Linked DNA regions of Mytilus edulis. The protein of the gene in region 1 purifies or fractionates together with the protein of each later gene. This does not show direct contact. Links are inferred from orthologs where the notes say so. Each region holds a gene or a part of one and is shown in the gene's direction. Other genes may lie near its edges.

The links.
Region 2: the proteins of sugar phosphate exchanger 3-like (region 1) and all-trans retinoic acid-induced differentiation factor-like purify together in Homo sapiens (affinity purification with mass spectrometry; 3 studies listed by BioGRID and IntAct, counting the BioPlex papers as one, with this or other methods). This does not show direct contact. The link is inferred for Mytilus edulis from reciprocal best matches to the Homo sapiens genes SLC37A3 and ATRAID.

The regions. Positions count from the first base shown.
Region 1 is NC_092344.1:15,891,777-15,900,320, forward strand, and holds the start of sugar phosphate exchanger 3-like, read left to right. Parts: upstream 1-4,818; 5' UTR 4,819-4,977; coding exon 4,978-5,042; intron 5,043-6,594; coding exon 6,595-6,709; intron 6,710-7,515; coding exon 7,516-7,608; intron 7,609-7,874; coding exon 7,875-7,906; intron 7,907-8,396; coding exon 8,397-8,448; intron 8,449-8,544. Other genes in the region: serine/threonine-protein kinase Nek3-like, read right to left, coding at 1-12, 376-472, 1,187-1,287, 2,041-2,307, 4,573-4,668. UniProt on the Homo sapiens protein: Unlike the other SLC37 members, lacks glucose-6-phosphate antiporter activity.
Region 2 is NC_092344.1:119,473,273-119,482,490, forward strand, and holds the start of all-trans retinoic acid-induced differentiation factor-like, read left to right. Parts: upstream 1-5,466; 5' UTR 5,467-5,536; coding exon 5,537-5,593; intron 5,594-9,218. UniProt on the Homo sapiens protein: Promotes osteoblast cell differentiation and terminal mineralization. Plays a role in inducing the cell cycle arrest via inhibiting CCND1 expression in all-trans-retinoic acid (ATRA) signal pathway.

The DNA.
Region 1 (8,544 bases):
CCAAATGTCTGACTGAAAAAAATCAAAATATTCAAATTAAGTTGAATTTCCTACATCATACACTGCAAATCTTTTTTTTTTTTATCTGATACATCACTTTATATAGCATGAGCTTTTACTAACTATAAAATGAAGATTATGTTATGTTTTGTACCATAAAAGGTTGCTGAGACAAAATCATCCAATTTCCAATTTGCAACTTGGTGCATGAGGAGGGTCAATTTGTTTGACCCTGTCACATTTTTCTTAAGGTACAAATGTAATAACAACATCGGCTTTTTTGTTCAATCCCAATTTTATATCAGTCAAAATGTAATATATACATTCAATTTGCACATTCAGTGATTCTTTGTACAAGTACCATTTTATACTTACACGATTATTATAAGCTTTTTGTTCAAACAATTCAGGACACATATAGGCAGGAGTCCCCACAAAACTGTTAGCTTTACTCTGACCAAGATCCAACACTCTAGAAAATATTTTATCTTTAATTATAAATCAAATCTTTAAACATCTGTGAAACAGTGCTTGAAACATTTATTTTCATATCATTTTCAAATGTACAGTAAATTAAAACATTCAAAATTAAAAAAAATATAACTCATCAAATACATTTTTTAAGGTGGTACCTAACACTACAGGGAGATAACTCTGTAAAATCAGCAGAACGTTTTAATGATGTTGTGTTGTTAAGGGAATATTAAGCTTCTCAATGATCAAAATAAGTTTTTGTCAAACTGCTATATAACCAGTGTAATTTTTCTGATTAAACAGTTGGTTCAAAGTTTTTGAAATTTTTATATTTTTGTCAAAGGGTCAAACTAAATACTTTGTCAAAATTTAAAGAAAATTAAACGAGTCAAATTAATTTTAGTTCAGGTGTTAGGTACCACCTTAACTTAAATTTTAATGCAGGGAAACATATTTTTCAATTCAGTGAAGTAATACAGATCAAGGCTAACAATAATTATTAAATCTGAAATGTAATGCAGAGTATCATATTTTTCAGTTCACAGAAGATATACATATATGTACGTACAGTATTCATCAAAATAAATGAACAGCATTTATAGCCACTTCCTTTACTTTCATTGTGATTAATATAATATTAAAGGATGTTATCTCCTTCATATTGCAAAGAGGTCAACGTATAAGTTTCCATCCTACTATCAATATAACTTACTTTGCTATACCTAAATCACCAATTCTAACATTCCAGTCAGTCATAATAAAAATGTTCTTTGTCTTCAAATCTCTGTGTAATATCTTTCTTTCATGTAAATACTAAAAACAAACATTGTATAAATTATAAATTTGTATTGTGCGAGTATGTTACAAAATGAGGCTTCACAACAGCATGAACATCAAAACTTTTACCTTTCAGAAGAGATAAATAAATAACATATATATGTTTTAATTCTTGTCAACACAATGACACATGCTAAAAATATTTCACAAATATTGATTAAGACATAAGAATATATATAGAATAATAGGTAGTTTCGTTTTTGATACTGACTATATCATGTGGTATATCTAGACGAGCCTGTTATTCTGTTTATCGGTAATTATGTCGTCACACAATGTATTGCCTAATATTTTCAGTGATACAGCCAGTACGTTGATACTCGAAAATATTAGACAGTAAGATCAATGGGAAAATATATGAATTACCGATAAACATGTATCTGGGACTATTATATTTACTAGTACAATAGTCCTCAGTATGCCTAGGCACTGGGAAAATGTTTGTTGTAAATGAAAATTTAGTAAGTTTACTATGAAACTTTTTGTTGTTGAGGAATTTGATTCACTGGTAAAGGAAAACCTACATTAATTAACTGGTAAAGAATGGGATGTACTTAGGGCTTAATTTCGGTTTGAACATTGTTTTACAAAATCAGTGCATGAAAATGATTGATTTGTAATGTACATGTTACTACAGACACATACCTACATGTACATCATGTAGGTATGTGTCTGAACTGTAAAGTTATACATGTGATATTGATGTTTTTTTGGTAAATGTTAACTTACATGTAAACCACTTGCTATCTGATAGATCCATATTGCTATCTTATTTTCTGGTAACTGTTCCTGTATTTGTGACTTGTATTCCAAGTAAGTCTCAAGATCACCACGTTCACAGTATTCTGTCACGATAAACAAGCTATCATCCTCTTCAAATGATTCAACATACTGTAAGATATTATCATGGCGAAGGTTGGATAACAAATCTGCTTCTCTTTTAGCTTGTTCCCGTTCTGATTCTTGATCACCGAAGTCTATTCTTTTGAGGGCAAACTACAATCAAATGCATATAAATATATATATAAAGCAAGTTGTTGCTAAAGCATCAATCAGACAGCAATCCAAAAACATAATTAGGGGTCAACATACAGCATTTAACAATAGGCAATTACCATTATCAATGTTATCGCAGAGTTCTCAGAAAGAATTTTCATAGGTGAGTCCAGTTACTTATTGTTTTTGGACATTCAGATTCCAATCACGTAACAACATATTCATAAAAAATTTAAAAGTCTTCATGACAAAATAAAGCAAGGAAATGAAATCAAATTTTAATAGGTTTATCTTTTAACTTTTGCTGTGGACAAAGGATGAAATAATAATAACTGGACTGAGCTGGTACTCTTGATGCACTTTGGGACTCACTTATTTAGAAAATAATGATAAGTGAGAAGGTTTTTAAAATGAGTCCAGGACTCATGCATTCCTCTTTGTGTAAACTGTACATGTAGTATTATCAACCTATGAACATGATGAATTGCAAATGATCTTTTCTAGCAATTGATCATGAAGGCACAAATAATTTAAACTGGCATTGTAACAATTCTTTGAATTAGTCCAAATAATAATGACTTTTTGTATGGCTTTTTGACAAGTTTGATTTATCCGAACCCAGTTATAGGGAGAATCATGCCTGACTAAAGAACAGGCTACAATAGACTAAATAAAATACCGCCATCAGATAGGCCACTCCATCACACCATACTGAGAATGTGGGGATGAAGAAAGCACAGAACACTTTAAATTTTTGCTTAACTGTACAACAATCTCATTAATGAGATTGACTGTACAAGATACCAACAGGAATGAAAAGAAATGAAAAGACAGCTTGGGTCATAACATCCCAAAAGATCTCCAGACCCTACTAGCACTAGCGAAGAAAGAGACATATGAGAGAACAATTTGAAATTAAAATATGGCAACAATTTATTATTGTCACAGAGGACCATTGCAGTATAACATTATGATATGGTCCGATTAAAACATGTTACAATTTTCATCTTTAAATTCCGTTATTTTACCATAAATTGCACTTTCCGCCATACTTGTTTGACTGGCTGATTGCTTAGCAGTGTGTCAAGGCTGACGAGGGCGGCGCATGCCTGTATGCGGTGGCCGCTGATTTCAAAGCAAATGAAGCAACTGTGCCTATACCAAAAGTACCAACTGCGCTAACCCAGGTTAGTCGCTGTGGCAAATGAAGTACTACATGTACCAATACCCTGAAGAATTCTGATCAAGTGCCTAAACGATTTAACCTAAGTTTACAAAGTAACATTACCCAGGGAAACTACAGTTTCAAGTAGAAACAAGATAGCACAATGAGACCAGTTGTGTCAAACTAAATATTGACCTTAGCTTAGGATCAGGATGTGTGAACAAATATGAAAGCACTTTACCTCATTTGTTAGAAGAATTTTGGGAGCATTGTGAAAAGAAGAGACATAAACACTGTACTATAGGTCATTTCTAGAATCATGTCTTTCACTGGAAAAGATCGTCTTTTTCGAACGCCTTCATGACGTCATTTACCAGATAGACGGCGCGCCTGTATCACTGCTCTATTAAAAGTTTCCTACACTTTCATAATTGTCATTCTGTAGGGTAGTATATAAATAATTAATGTTCCGTAAGTACATCACCGTGATTGCCATATGACTGAGGGTGGGTTACCATCCTATTAGATTTCAATTTCCCTAATATTTTGTGCAGTATAAATTAAAACATTGACACCCGTTTGCTCAACATGTGTTGGAGCACTTTACTTTGGAAATTTTTATGCATACATTTTTGTCACATTGGGCGAGTTCACTTGAAACTCTACAATCGACTTCAGAGTTAATAGATTTTCACGTGAACGCACAAGAGTTGATATTCGGAACAACTCTAAATAACTCTAGGGCAAGGCCCTGACCAAGCATAAAAAATAAAATATTCTCATTGGTTTGACATCATTCTCGAGTTTAACCCTGGCTCGGTGAGGGTTGGAACCAGGGTATGAGGGGTTAACTTGAGTGGTTCAAGTAAAATCGTTTTGTTGAAACCCGAGTTAGTCAAGTTAACTCGAGAGTTTCAAGTGAACTCAGCAAACCGAACTCAGCCATGGTGATGAAAGTCATATGACAGAAAAAACGTATCCCGTGACTGGCCTTTTGGGGATGAAATGTTTGACAGATGATTTTGTTTAGCTCAGTTGGCAGCTGTTCAGAAATTATGTGCCAACTGTTGCAGCTCACTCCAAATTATAATGATTCATACTTTTTTGTTTGTTTCAATATCTGTTATTTGATATACAATTCCGAACGATCCCTCCCCGAGCAACTTTTCTAATTTGATTTTATCTGATCTCTCCATTAGGTATATATGTTATATTGTTTTGCCCATGTGCAACTGTTTTCTTTTTTTGTTGTTGTCCCTTTGAAATATAAACTTCCGGTTGAATGACAGGTGCTCGGCATCAGACGAGCGTTTGACATCAACAGTAACTACAACCTCTAAAACTCTTGAAATGGGATCTGATTTGACATTGACTATATTTTGTCCCATGATCGCAGAGATGTGTCAAGTGTAACATTTACTGTTTACAGTTTAAAAAGTGTAAATGTAATCACAATGTATTGAACATTGATTATTGAAATGATTACAAATTGAGAAAAACTCAAGATGAAGAGTGAAACCTCTCAATTTACATCACACCATGTGGTTGTTTTCTTACTAACATTTTTTAGGTAACATTTATTTATTTATATGTCAGATCTTATGTACAACCTGTTACTGTTGCTAATCATTAACATAACCCAGGAATTGTGCTGTGACTTGATTACATCTGAAAATATGACTGATAATTTCATCTGGAGACACTATAAAAATACATGTACCAGCTTCAAGAGGGTGGTAACGGGGGTACCTACATGACGAATAACTGTAAAATACCGAAGCTAAAATACTTGCCAAATGATGTTAATGGTATTTTTTGGTGCATGACGATCAATGTTCTCCCCAGGATTTTTGAATAACGCTGTGGTAAGCGTGTGATTTTTGACAGTTCTCAGTAACTTTGTTGTGGCATGCGGTTTGTTTATAAATGGTTTTCTCTTGTTATGATGTACATGTCCTCATGGAAATTAACCAACTGTCGTAATCAAAGAACATTAAACACAATGGATGGAGCAATTATTGGAATTGTACAGACATGTTGTTTTGAAATAGACAATTCTTGTCTAGTTGATAATATAAATTCCAGTAGGATTATATATTATGGCACTGTTTATAACAAACCTTTCCATTGAAACTACTGTTATTTAAAAGTGACATATTCTTTGACACCACAAGCGAAATAATCTTTAAAAATATGAAGAAAAACAGAGTCTTCAACATGTTCAAGGTTTAGTTACAAAACTTGTCACAATACTAAACACTGGTGCTGAAATAACTACCTTTGGAACCTCATTAATGAGGTCCCAATTTGACTTAAATTTTGTGGATGTTCAAATACTTTTTAAAATATATTGATAGTTCTTGCTTTTCTTGAAGGGGCCTCTGTTGCTGAGTTGTTTTTATTCCTTCAACTTATTTTTATGGATAAGAGACGAGGTGGACCTCTGTTAGCAAACTATTTCCATTCTCAATTTAGTATGGTGAATCAATAAATTATTAAACTATTTTTGCTGGCCCTCTGGCATGGCAGAAAAACAATTTAAAAAAAAATCACATATGAAACTTTGAGACAACTTAAATAACTTATAAATAATAACAATAACAATTGTTTTATGATGTGACATTTTATATGATATATATATTCTATGATATTCTCTTCATGTGAATCAAAATTTTAATTTTATCTTCATTATATGTTTATGTGTTAAGAATCAGAATGTATTGTGTATTGTTGTCATTATGTCCCGTCAGGGGCCCTTAATTGGAAAATAAAGAACTTTGAACTTTGAGTTGTCTAAAAATACATGTACATTTATATGTAGTATGATGAGAGTTTTTGCAATATTTCCAATTATACACTGTGTACTATGTTCATTGTTTGGATTGTCCATTTAATATCTGAATATGTGTATAGTGATTTTTTTGTCATGAATTAATATATCATATCTTTTCAAATGATCTTTTAATTTGTCAAATCTGTATGTCTGATTGACAAGCAATCACATGAGAAAATTACAAATATAGACTACAAAACTCAATACCAGTCCTTCTTAATAACTGTTTGTTACTAAATCACATAAATTATTAACTTAAGTAACAATTCAAACATTTATCTTTTGTTAGTTATGCCTTTTTCCATGCAACAAGAAAGACCTTCAGCAATGTCAAAACTACTATTTCGGCAGAGTGGACACCTTCCTTTCATAACTCTACTGTTAACAAGACACAACCAGACAAGGTAATATATGTGTAAAACATTTAGCAGATAACCCAGAGATTTCAAATGCATCTATAGTGGTAAGAATAATATAGAATTGCACATTTCTTTAAAACATGTTTCTTTAACTCTTGTCAAAAATTTTTTTGGAATTGGCCTGTTCAATTTTTGAATTTTATAGAAATGTAAAGTTTGACTTTATCCACAAACTTTGATCATATTCATAAACTGATTTAAACAATGCTACTCCATTTCCAATAGATCCATATAGAAAGATAGATAAAGTTGATGGAATGCCTTTATGTAACCAATTTAATCAAGATGGCAGCGATGATAACACAAATAAGCTCAGCGTAATTTTTTTAATTTATTTTAACTTTCATTCGTTATTCCATTAAAAAATTATTACCAAAACATTTATTTGAATGATTATGAGATATTATTCTAGTTTATTTAGTAAATAATATGTTCATGCGCCAAGCCAATTCAATGACATGAATATACAATTAACATGTATTAGAGGTTACAGGTGTGAAAAATAGATTTCTTAAATCCAATTTTAAATAATTATAAGGATAATACACCTTTTTAAAGGAATTTTATTGGTGTATAAACTGGACCAGTCACTCACAAACATATCATAAAAGTCCTGTGGTCTTGAATTTGCTTGTGCGTGACTTGGTCATGTTTTTACACCAATACATTCCTTTAGAATGGCATTCAATTGTATATTAACTGATGCTGTTACTAAAATGTAATCAGTTTAAGAATCATTGGCTGTAACCAACACACATTTTTAATGTTTTAATACTTTTATAATTTGACAGATATGGAATTCTCACACAATGTTTGACAATCCTAAAGATGCTGAACCATTCCTTGGAATGTTAGATGGGGCCTTTCTTATATCTTATGCCGTGGTATGCCTTTACTTAAGTTAAGACTATATTATTTTTGTCAGAAAGTGTTTTTTTTTAAAGATTAACTGATTTTCAAGGAAAGAAGTTATAACATTGACAAGCGTGATAATGATACTATATTGAAATCAACATTTTTTTTTATTTTCTTAATTAGACTTTTATATCTTCATTCTTAATGTGTAAAATTTTAGTTGTTTGCTGATAAATTTTAATGTCAAGTATGTTTCTTTTTTTTTTATAATTTAAAATGGTAACTATATTTGTAGGGACTCTATATCAGTGGAATTATTGGCGACAGGTAAGAAACTAAAGGGAGATAACTCATAATAAATTATTGTGTATTAATTGTATTATGTTAACACCTCTAAAAATAAAACAAGTGGTAAGAAGAATCTTAAATTGGAGGAAGACACACCATATTTTGATCATTGATGTATGCAGAATCAGCCTTATAAATGTATGAGTATGACAGTAAAGTTTCTAAGCAATAGCCAATAGTGCTGGTTTTCTATATTTTATGATTTAAGAGCTGTCTTGCCAAAGACTAACACTGAAATACATACTCCTCATGTCTGTACAAACAATTCATGAATGTAAAAAAGAAAAAATACAAGAAAATACATTGACACATGAAGTTTGAATATATTTACAAAAATTAAAAAAAAAACAAAAAAAAGTAATAAGATGAAGGGCATTGTTGACCCATAATTCTGAGATTTTACAAATAAAGCTAGTGATTTATTCCTGGGGTAGCATTTTATGTTCAAATTGATTAATTTACATTCCAGATTGAATATGAGATTAGTTCTGTCTTTTGGGATGGTTTCATCAGGCTTGAGTGTAAGTTATTCATAAATGCATAGGATTTAAATGAAACAAAGATTAAATTTAAATTGTCAACAAAATTCCAAATAAGTATAATTTTTTTTTACAATA
Region 2 (9,218 bases), about 100 Mb from region 1:
TTTTACTTACTAGTACACTTGGTACAATAAAAAACCTGATAATAAATTGTTCAAATAAGGCCTTTGAAAATAGTGGAATTAATTACTTTTGGAGTGTCAAAAACTCGTTGGAAGTACTTGATAAATTGCATGCATATATTGGTGATTTTGAATCTGTTCAAAGTTTTGATTTTTCTACCCTATATACCACTTTGCCTCATATTCTTATTAAGAAAAAATTCACATCCCTAATTAACTGGGCATTTAAAAAGTCGGAATGCGAGTACATATGTTCAAACTCTTTTAGATCATTTTTTAGTAGCAATAAACAAAAGAACTATGTCAATTGGACATGCTTTGATACTATTTATGCACTTGAATTTTTACTTGATAACATTTTTGTTCGCTTTGGAGATTCCGTATATCGTCAAGTTATTGGAATTCCAATGGGGACTAACTGTGCACCACTTATTGCGGACCTGTTTTTGTATTGTTATGAGTTACAATTTATGACTAAAATTAGCAAAGACCCATCAAAACAACATTTGATACAAAAATTTAACAATACTTTTAGATATTTGGATGATATATTGGCTCTAAATAATGACGACTTCAGTATGTATACTAAAGAAATTTATCCTGTAGAACTTACTTTAAATAAAGCTAATGATAACAATGACCACTGCCCTTTCCTCGATCTTGATATCTATATCATAAACGGGAAGCTTAATACAAAAATTTATGATAAAAGAGATGATTTTTCATTTCCTATTGTTAATTATCCATTTTTAGATGGTGACGTTCCCTTGTCACCATCTTATGGTGTTTATATATCTCAACTTGTACGATTCGCTCGTGTATGTAACAATGTATTAGATTTTAGCGAGAGAAATTTATGTATTACTGAAAAATTATTACACCAGGGTTTTCGATATCACAAACTGGTCAAAACATTTACTAAATTTTATCACCGGTATAAGGAAATAATTCGTAAATATAACTCAACATGCAGACATCTTATACGTTCAGGTATTTCACATCCAAAATTTTATGGAAATATTCTTTATAAAGCACAAAAATGTCAGTATTCTCCTCAGAAACTAACAAAACCTTTAAATAGACTTATTAAAAGGGGATATAGTTACGATACTGTTGTCAGGTCATTAAAGATTGCATATTTTGGCTTTAACATTGATTCACTGATAGGGTCTTTGCATCGGAACTAAACACATTTATTTCTAAAAAAAACAGTTGTTGGCATGACACGGGTTATGTTCTTCTCATATATTTTATGATAGTATGATACTAAACCCCTAACGGGAGGGATTGTACCTGATATTCATATGATGAAGACATAATCTTTCAATCAGTTTAATTGAGGTCTGGAGCTGGCATGTCAGTTAACTGCTAGTAGTCTGTTGTTATTTATGTATTATTGTCATTTTATTTATTTTCTTTTGTTACATCTTTTGACATCAGACTCGGACTTCTCTTGAACTGAATTTTAATGTGCGTATTGTTATTCTTTTACTTTTCTACATTGGCTAGAGGTATAGGGGGAGGGTTGAGATCTCATAAACATGTTTAACCCCGCCGCAATTTTGCGCCTGTCCCAAGTCAGGAGCCTCTGGCCTTTGTTAGTCTTGTATGATTTTAAATTTTAGTTTCTTGTGTATAATTCGGAGTTTAGTATGACGTCCATTATCACTGTACTATTATGCATATTTTAGGGGCCAGCTGAAGGACACCTACGGGTGCGGGAATTCTCGCTACATTGAAGACCCATTGGTTGCCTTCGGCTGTTGTTTGCTCTATGGTCGGGTGGTTGTCGCTTTGACATATTCACCATTTCCTTTCTCAATTTTATTTTGTCAGATATAACTTTTGAAACATGTGCACATGCTATGGACGCCATTTTGTTATTGTTTACATACTGTAAAAAAGCCTCCAGAACCATGATCTGAACATTAACAGTCTCGGAATACTTAAATAAAGTCAACAGTAGTATACTGCTGTTCAAAACTCATAATTCCATAAAAAAAAAAATCAGGGTTACAAACTTAAACCGAGGGAAACACATTAAATATAAGAGGAGAACAACTACACAACACTGAAATGTAACACACAAAGAAACGGACCAAGCATCAGAAAAAATCCCACGATAATAACAAATATAACATCAAAACCAAATACATGAATTTGGGATAGACAAGTACCGTGACACGTCTTATCGCAATGTGAATTTACACTCAAAAATAAGAGAAAACAAACGACGCAACGTTAAAATGTAACACACACAGAAACGAACAATAATATAACAATGGCCATCTTCCTGACTTGCTACAGGACATTTTTAAAGGAAAAAATGGTGGATTGAACCTGGTTTTGTGGCATGCCAAACCTCGCACTTTAATGGCAATGTACAATATAACATTGAAATGACAACATAATATAACAGGACTACAATACAAATAAATAGGAGAACATATTAGACAAAGAAACACATGATTAATAGATAACAAAAAGCATCAGGTTAAACTTGATGCAATAAATTTTCATCAATCATGATAATCTTTATTGATATATATTCAAATGAATTCGATTTTTAAGGAAATATTTTTTTTTAACAAATACAATTTCAGTTCAGTTAAAAGACCGTGCTCAGGTTGTAATCTATTTATAGCCCACAATAAGCTTACCTGTGATAAATGTAAAAATGGACATTACTGTACTTCGTTTATAAAACAATTATAAAAGCTATTGATGGCGATACTTATTCACATAAATATTTGTGGCTTGAATTTTATAAACTGATAACAAATATGAGCATTTCATAATTAAGCAGCTGATAATTCTTTTAAACAAACGTGATAATGTATCTGGTAAAAACCCTCCAATCCTTTATAAACCCATGAATAGCGGTGGTGAAGACTTGTTTCATCAATCGGGATTTGTTCAACTCATTATTACAGGATATTCAGTGAATATTCAATTATCAATATATCTGCTAATGCCAGTAATTAGATACTTAGTAGTTTTTGCCAAGTTTTGGGTATCCAATTTGCACAAATCTACTGTACAATGGATAAAAATTGTTAAACTTTATATAATTCATTGTTATTGCAGCAAACTCTGAAATTGTGAGGCATACTAGGGCTAGTAGGTCAGTTTTGCTGGGCTAGTAGTTCTTCCAACAGGGCTAGTAAAATCATGCTACCAATTAGCCGTGGGCTAGTGAACTTATACAAAATTTCGTAACCCCTGATAATGGTAAATGGAATGCATGTTAAGACCATTAAACAGATTAAATTGTGAAATCTGATTGCCTGGGCTTATTCTTCAGGCTAACAAGCCAGTTAGATTAAATATCGGATTGATAAATTATAATTTGTACAAAAACATTGTTCAAATTATAATTTGTATTTTGACTTTGTACAAATTGTAATTTGTACAAAAAGTGCCTGTACACATTATAATTCGTAAAAAATTAAGCTTAATTTCTCTTATAATTTGTGTGAATTCATTGTAAGTAAATGATTTCTTTGTGGCATGTTGCCTTTACATCATCTTCCCATCCTTACTGTCGAATGGACTTTTAAAGATTATGCATGTCTAACCATTTTACATGACGATCTCATGTTCATGTTATAGCTTCAGATTCAATTCTCTTTTTGTTTCGATAGAAATTTAAGAAAACCCAACACCACTTGTCAGTTGGTATAAAAGGTTGCCAACAATCATAATACTTGATGCATCGTATGTTTGTATAGATACAAGGGAGAAATCATTTAACTTTAAAAGTGGGGTATTATGTTTTTTGTCTATTAAGTCAAATATTTTTCCGTGCAAAGCATTCTTTTTTTAGTTTTTCAAGGTGATCAATCTACATTTTTTTTTTCTCAAAATTTAACACTACAAGGTTTAGGGCAGATAATTATTAAGACATTTTGTTGTCACCTGTTTAACCACAATATTTGTTTTCATCCATGCAAAAAGGGTGTTGTAAGGGAAAATTGATATTAACAATGAGGAAAGTGAGGGAACATTCCTTTTGCAAAAGAGAGAACATTACCAAAGGGATATTCAAATGTATTTGTAAAAAACTACTGGCAATGCTGTGTCAAAAAAGCAAAAACATTTCGGACGCTAAAATCAAAATCAGAGAATAAATACGAAAACCAGACACCAAAACAGACGTAAAAAAAACCAACAACAGATGTTAACAAATCAAAAGCAGAGATCCAAAACAAAAACCGACATATAATTTCAAAAAAACAGTTAAAAAAAGTAAATAAAACACTTGAATAACGGAACAGACTTGAACATTGATGAATAAAAAAAAAAGACGAAAAAAAATGACATTAAATTTAAAACCAGACGTTAAAGTTCAAACAGAAAAAAAATAGAAAAAAAAAAATAATCCAAGACGATTTTTTTTATTTAATTACAGATGTCAAAATAAAAAACAGACATACCATTTATAAAAACCATACAACAGAGGACAAAAACGGAAATAGACACAAAATCTATAAAAGGAGTGAAAAACACAAAATTAATAACCAGAAGTTAAAGAAAACCCCACAGACATCAAAAACAAGAACAAACATAAAACAGGAAAACATTTGTCAAAAACGAAAACGCACATACCATTGAAAAAAACCCAGACAACAGAGAAAAATCTGAAAATTAACTCAAAAGAACGAAAACAGACATAAAACTAAAAAAAGTGTAAATTTAATATTACTAACATAAAAAGGAAGCAGACATAAAATTAAAAAGCACACGTTAAAAAGAAAAATGAAACAAACATATTAAAAAAAAAGGTCAAAAACAAAAATGGACAACAGTGTACAAAAACGAAAATAGGTACGAAGAAAGAAACAGACATAAATGAAAAAGGCATCAAAATAAAAATAAGCACGACCAAAAACCAAAACAGATTTTTTTTTTTTTGGACAATAATTAGGTCGTTTGTTTTCTCGTTTGAATTGTTATACATTTGTCATTTCAGGGTCTTTTATAGCTGACTATTCGGTATGGACTTTGACTCATTGTTGAAGTCCGTACGTTGACTTATAGTTGTTTTTTTCGATGTCATTTTGTTTATTGTAGAGAGTTGTCTCATTGGCAGTCATGCCTCTTTTTCTTTTGTTTTTATATATAAAAAAAAGAAAAGAACAAACACAGACATGAAATTAAAATTAAGATGCTAAAAAGTCTCAAACACAGGTAAAAAACGAAAACGGAAAATATACAAGAACTGGAGTCATTGTCAACTTGTAGCTTTATCATGGCAAACAGGGAGTCGTGACATTTAAAAATGCAGACATTTATTTTTAAAACACTTTCATTGCTCATTAATTAAAAAAAATCTATTCAAATTTATGTTCTAAAAGGTTGTTATGATTCACTAGCGAACACCCTTCATTTCTCCTCAACCGAAAGTAAATAAAATACGTTACTGTACACATTTTTTTATAGGTTATGTTGGTTTTAGGTCATATTACTAAAATAGAGTTATTTCCCTTCTCACCAGGAAGAAAATCAACATTGAACGATGTTGGTCTACATAATAATCACATGTATGATATTACCGTTGTTTGAGAGTGAAAAGGTAACGATGAATATTAGGAATATAGTTTCAATAATTCCCATAACATCATGAACTCCAAGGAAAATTCAACCGGAAAGTCCCTAATCAAATGGCAAAATCAAATGACAAAACACATCTTCTTCTTCTTCTTCTTCTTCCATATACAGTTCATACCACCATCTGGTGTATTATCGAACTGATGCGTGGTGCAGACAAACCAATATTTACAGTGCAGTTAAAAAATAGTATGTACAGTTAAAAATTTCGCACAGTCCTTAATACATCTTGGTCTTCTGCAACTCACACTTGAATGTGTCAATTGAGTTGCAGGCTACAGTAGTTGGTGGTAGACTGTTCCATAATCTGATGGCGTCTGGGAAGAACGAGTACTGGTAAAGCTGCGTTCTTGCGAATGGAACAAGGAATCGTTGGTTGTGTCCTCTTAATGTTGCTGCTGTTGGGATTAAGCAGGATGTTGGTATTGCAACCAAGTGGTTAACTATGCGGTACATCATTATAACTTTATTCGTTGCTCTACGCTCTTGTAGGGTTGGCCATTGCAGCTGGTGTAATAGGTTTGTTACACTAGTGGTTCGGTGGTAGTCACCAGTAACAAATCTTGCTGCCCTACGTTGTACCATTTCCAGGTTGTGGATGTTGTTTGCTGTGTGTGGATCCCAAATGATGCTTGCATACTCCATCTGTGGTCTCACAAGGGTCTTGTAGCAGAGTTCCTTGGTCTTTCGTGGGCATTGTGATATATTTCTCTGTAGAAAAGCCCTGGTGTTGTTGGCTTTTCTTACTACTTGGTCTATGTGAGTAGTCCAGTTTAGTTTGTGGTGGATGTTGGCCCCCAGATATTTTGCACATTCTACTTCCTCTAAGACGTGACCATGGATGATATATGGCTGTCTGATTGGTTTCCTCTTGTTGGTAATGTGAATGACTTGGCACTTTTTGGGATGAAATTCCATGAGCCAATCATTCTCCCATTCTTGTAGGGTTTCCAGATCTTGTTGAAGTAGTTCTGCATCTTTGGTGTTTTTTATTTCCCTGTACAATACGCAGTCATTGGCAAAGAGTCTAACTGATGATTTGTTGACTGTGTAATCTGGTAGGTCGTTAATGTAAAGTAGAAAAAGGATGGGTCCAAGGACACTGCCCTGAGGAACTCCTGATTGGACAGGTGCAGTATTGGATTTACCGTTTTCGAGGACGACATGTTATGTTCTTTCGTTGAGAAAGTCTTCAATCCAGCTATGGAGATTACCCCGTATTCCGTAGTGATGTAGCTTATGCATAAGTCGCTTATGAGGAACCTTGTCGAAAGCCTTGGAGAAGTCCAGGAGGATGACATCTGTTTGTCCGGTGTTATCGACTGTTTTGGCTAGATCCTGGATAGTGATTATAAGTTGAGATTCACAGGATCTGTGTTTACGGAAGCCATGCTGTGCGTCTGTTAGTATGGTGTGTTTCTCTAGGTGTTTCATTATGCTGCTCGTGATTATATGCTCCAGCATTTTACAGGTGATGGATGTGAGCGAGACAGGTCTGTAGTTTTCAGGGCGGTTTTTAGCACCTTTCTTAAATATAGGAACTACGTCTGCCTTCTTCCATTCCTTTGGGATCGCTCCTTGGTTAATGGATGCCTGGAAAAAGACTGTGAAGACTGGTGCTATTTCAGAGCCTACGAACTTCAACAGTCTAGCTGACAATCCATCTGGCCCAGTAGCTTTGTGGATTTTAAGGCCTTGTAGTAGTTTTAATACTCCTGGTTCTGTGATGTTAATGTTAAACATATTCGGGAACTTCTGTTTACCCATTGGTTTGATGTTGTCTTCTGGTTCGTTGGAATTAAATACCGATGAAAATTGGTTGTTCAGGATGTTCGCTTTTGCCGTTGGTTCTGAATATGTAAGGCCATCTGTTGCTTTAAGAGGTGCCACTCCACTGCTGTCCTTGTTTTTACTGTTAATAAAACTCCAGAAGCGTTTTGGGTTTGAAGTGCAATCTGGTGAGATTATGTTGGTTAGATAATCATTGTAGGCCTTTTTGCATGCTGTTTTTGTTGCAGATTTTAGATGTTGATACTTTTTCTTATCCCTTGATCTGTTTGATGATTTGACCCTATTAAAGCATCTTTTCTTACGCCGTGATAGTGCTTTTATCTCTTTTGTGATCCAGGGTTGACTAAAGCGGCTGGTGGTCATCTTTGATGGTACTGATGAATCTAGGATGTTAGTTAGTGCGGTGCTGATGTCTAGCCACATCTCTGCTATAGATGACTGAATAGTGTATTTGTCTAGGAATTGTTGTTGGAATTCTAGACATTCTTTTTTCAGTTTTTCATTATCTGCTCTTTTCCATAGGTGTATTTTCCGTTTTACCGGTTTCCCTCGTTTTGCAGCTGCTGATGATTCAATAAAGACTGCATCATGATCTGATATACCGGGTAAAGGAGAGCATCTGTTGATTAGGCTTGGCCGGTTAGTAAGAAACAAGTCCAGTGTGTTGTCCAGACGGGTGGGAAAAGTGACTGTTTGCTCCATATGACAGTTGTGGATCATGTCTAGGAGTCTTTTGTTGATACCAGAGTTTACTTTATTTCCTTGAATAGATGTTGAGTTCCAGTTAATGTCGGGAATACATCATTGTCATCAAACGAACAGGTTGGGAACAAACCCCCTGGATGGTGATTATACCTGTATAAAGGGATAAACCTTCTTTAGAGGGATAAAATTATCCCTCTATAGAGGGGTATTTGTGTTTGCACTAGATTTAAAGCAAATTAGGGCAGGATGGCATTTTCTAATTATATTGCCATTTTTATTGGCTATAATCTCTAGCACTAGGTGCATCAACATTAGTCCAAATAATTATGACGTCTGGGACGGCTATTTTTTTTTTTTTTAGGAAGGCGTCCCAGAAAAAAAATTAAAATAGCCTTGCCAGACATCATAATTATTTGGACTTAACTTAACTAAGTAATTGACAAAAACACCAGAAATGACAGAACTTTAGATCTAATGTGCATGACAAACCCATCATTTATCAACAGAGTTGAGACCCTCCCACCAATAGGAGGAAGCGACCATGATATTGTCTTTTGTGAAATCAACTTTGCTATACAACACCAAAACAACAACCACATAAAGCACTAATATACAAAAAAGCAAACTGGGAGAACATAAAGGAAGACCTTATTCTTATATATGATCATTTAAAAGCAAACAAGACAAATATGACTATCGATGATCTATGGACCACCTTTAAAACAAAAACAACAGAGACCATCAACAAAAATATACCAACTAAAGTAATTGGGAAAAAATCAAAATTACCATGGGTAAATAGAGACCTGAAAAGACTCATAAGAAAGAAAAACAAACTCTATAAAAAGAAAAGTCATGACTCAAAATACAAAAATAAATACAAAGAGATAAAAACCAAACTCCAAAAAGAGATGAGAATAGCATACTGGGCATACATCGAAAATATGATCTTTGACATCGACATAAAAGAACCAGATCAGCATTGCTTTAACAAACAACCAAAAAAGCTGTACTCTTATATAAAAAGCCAAAGAAAAGAAAACACCGGCATTGCATCCTTAAGAAGCGAAGGCACCCTCCATACAAACCCCTCT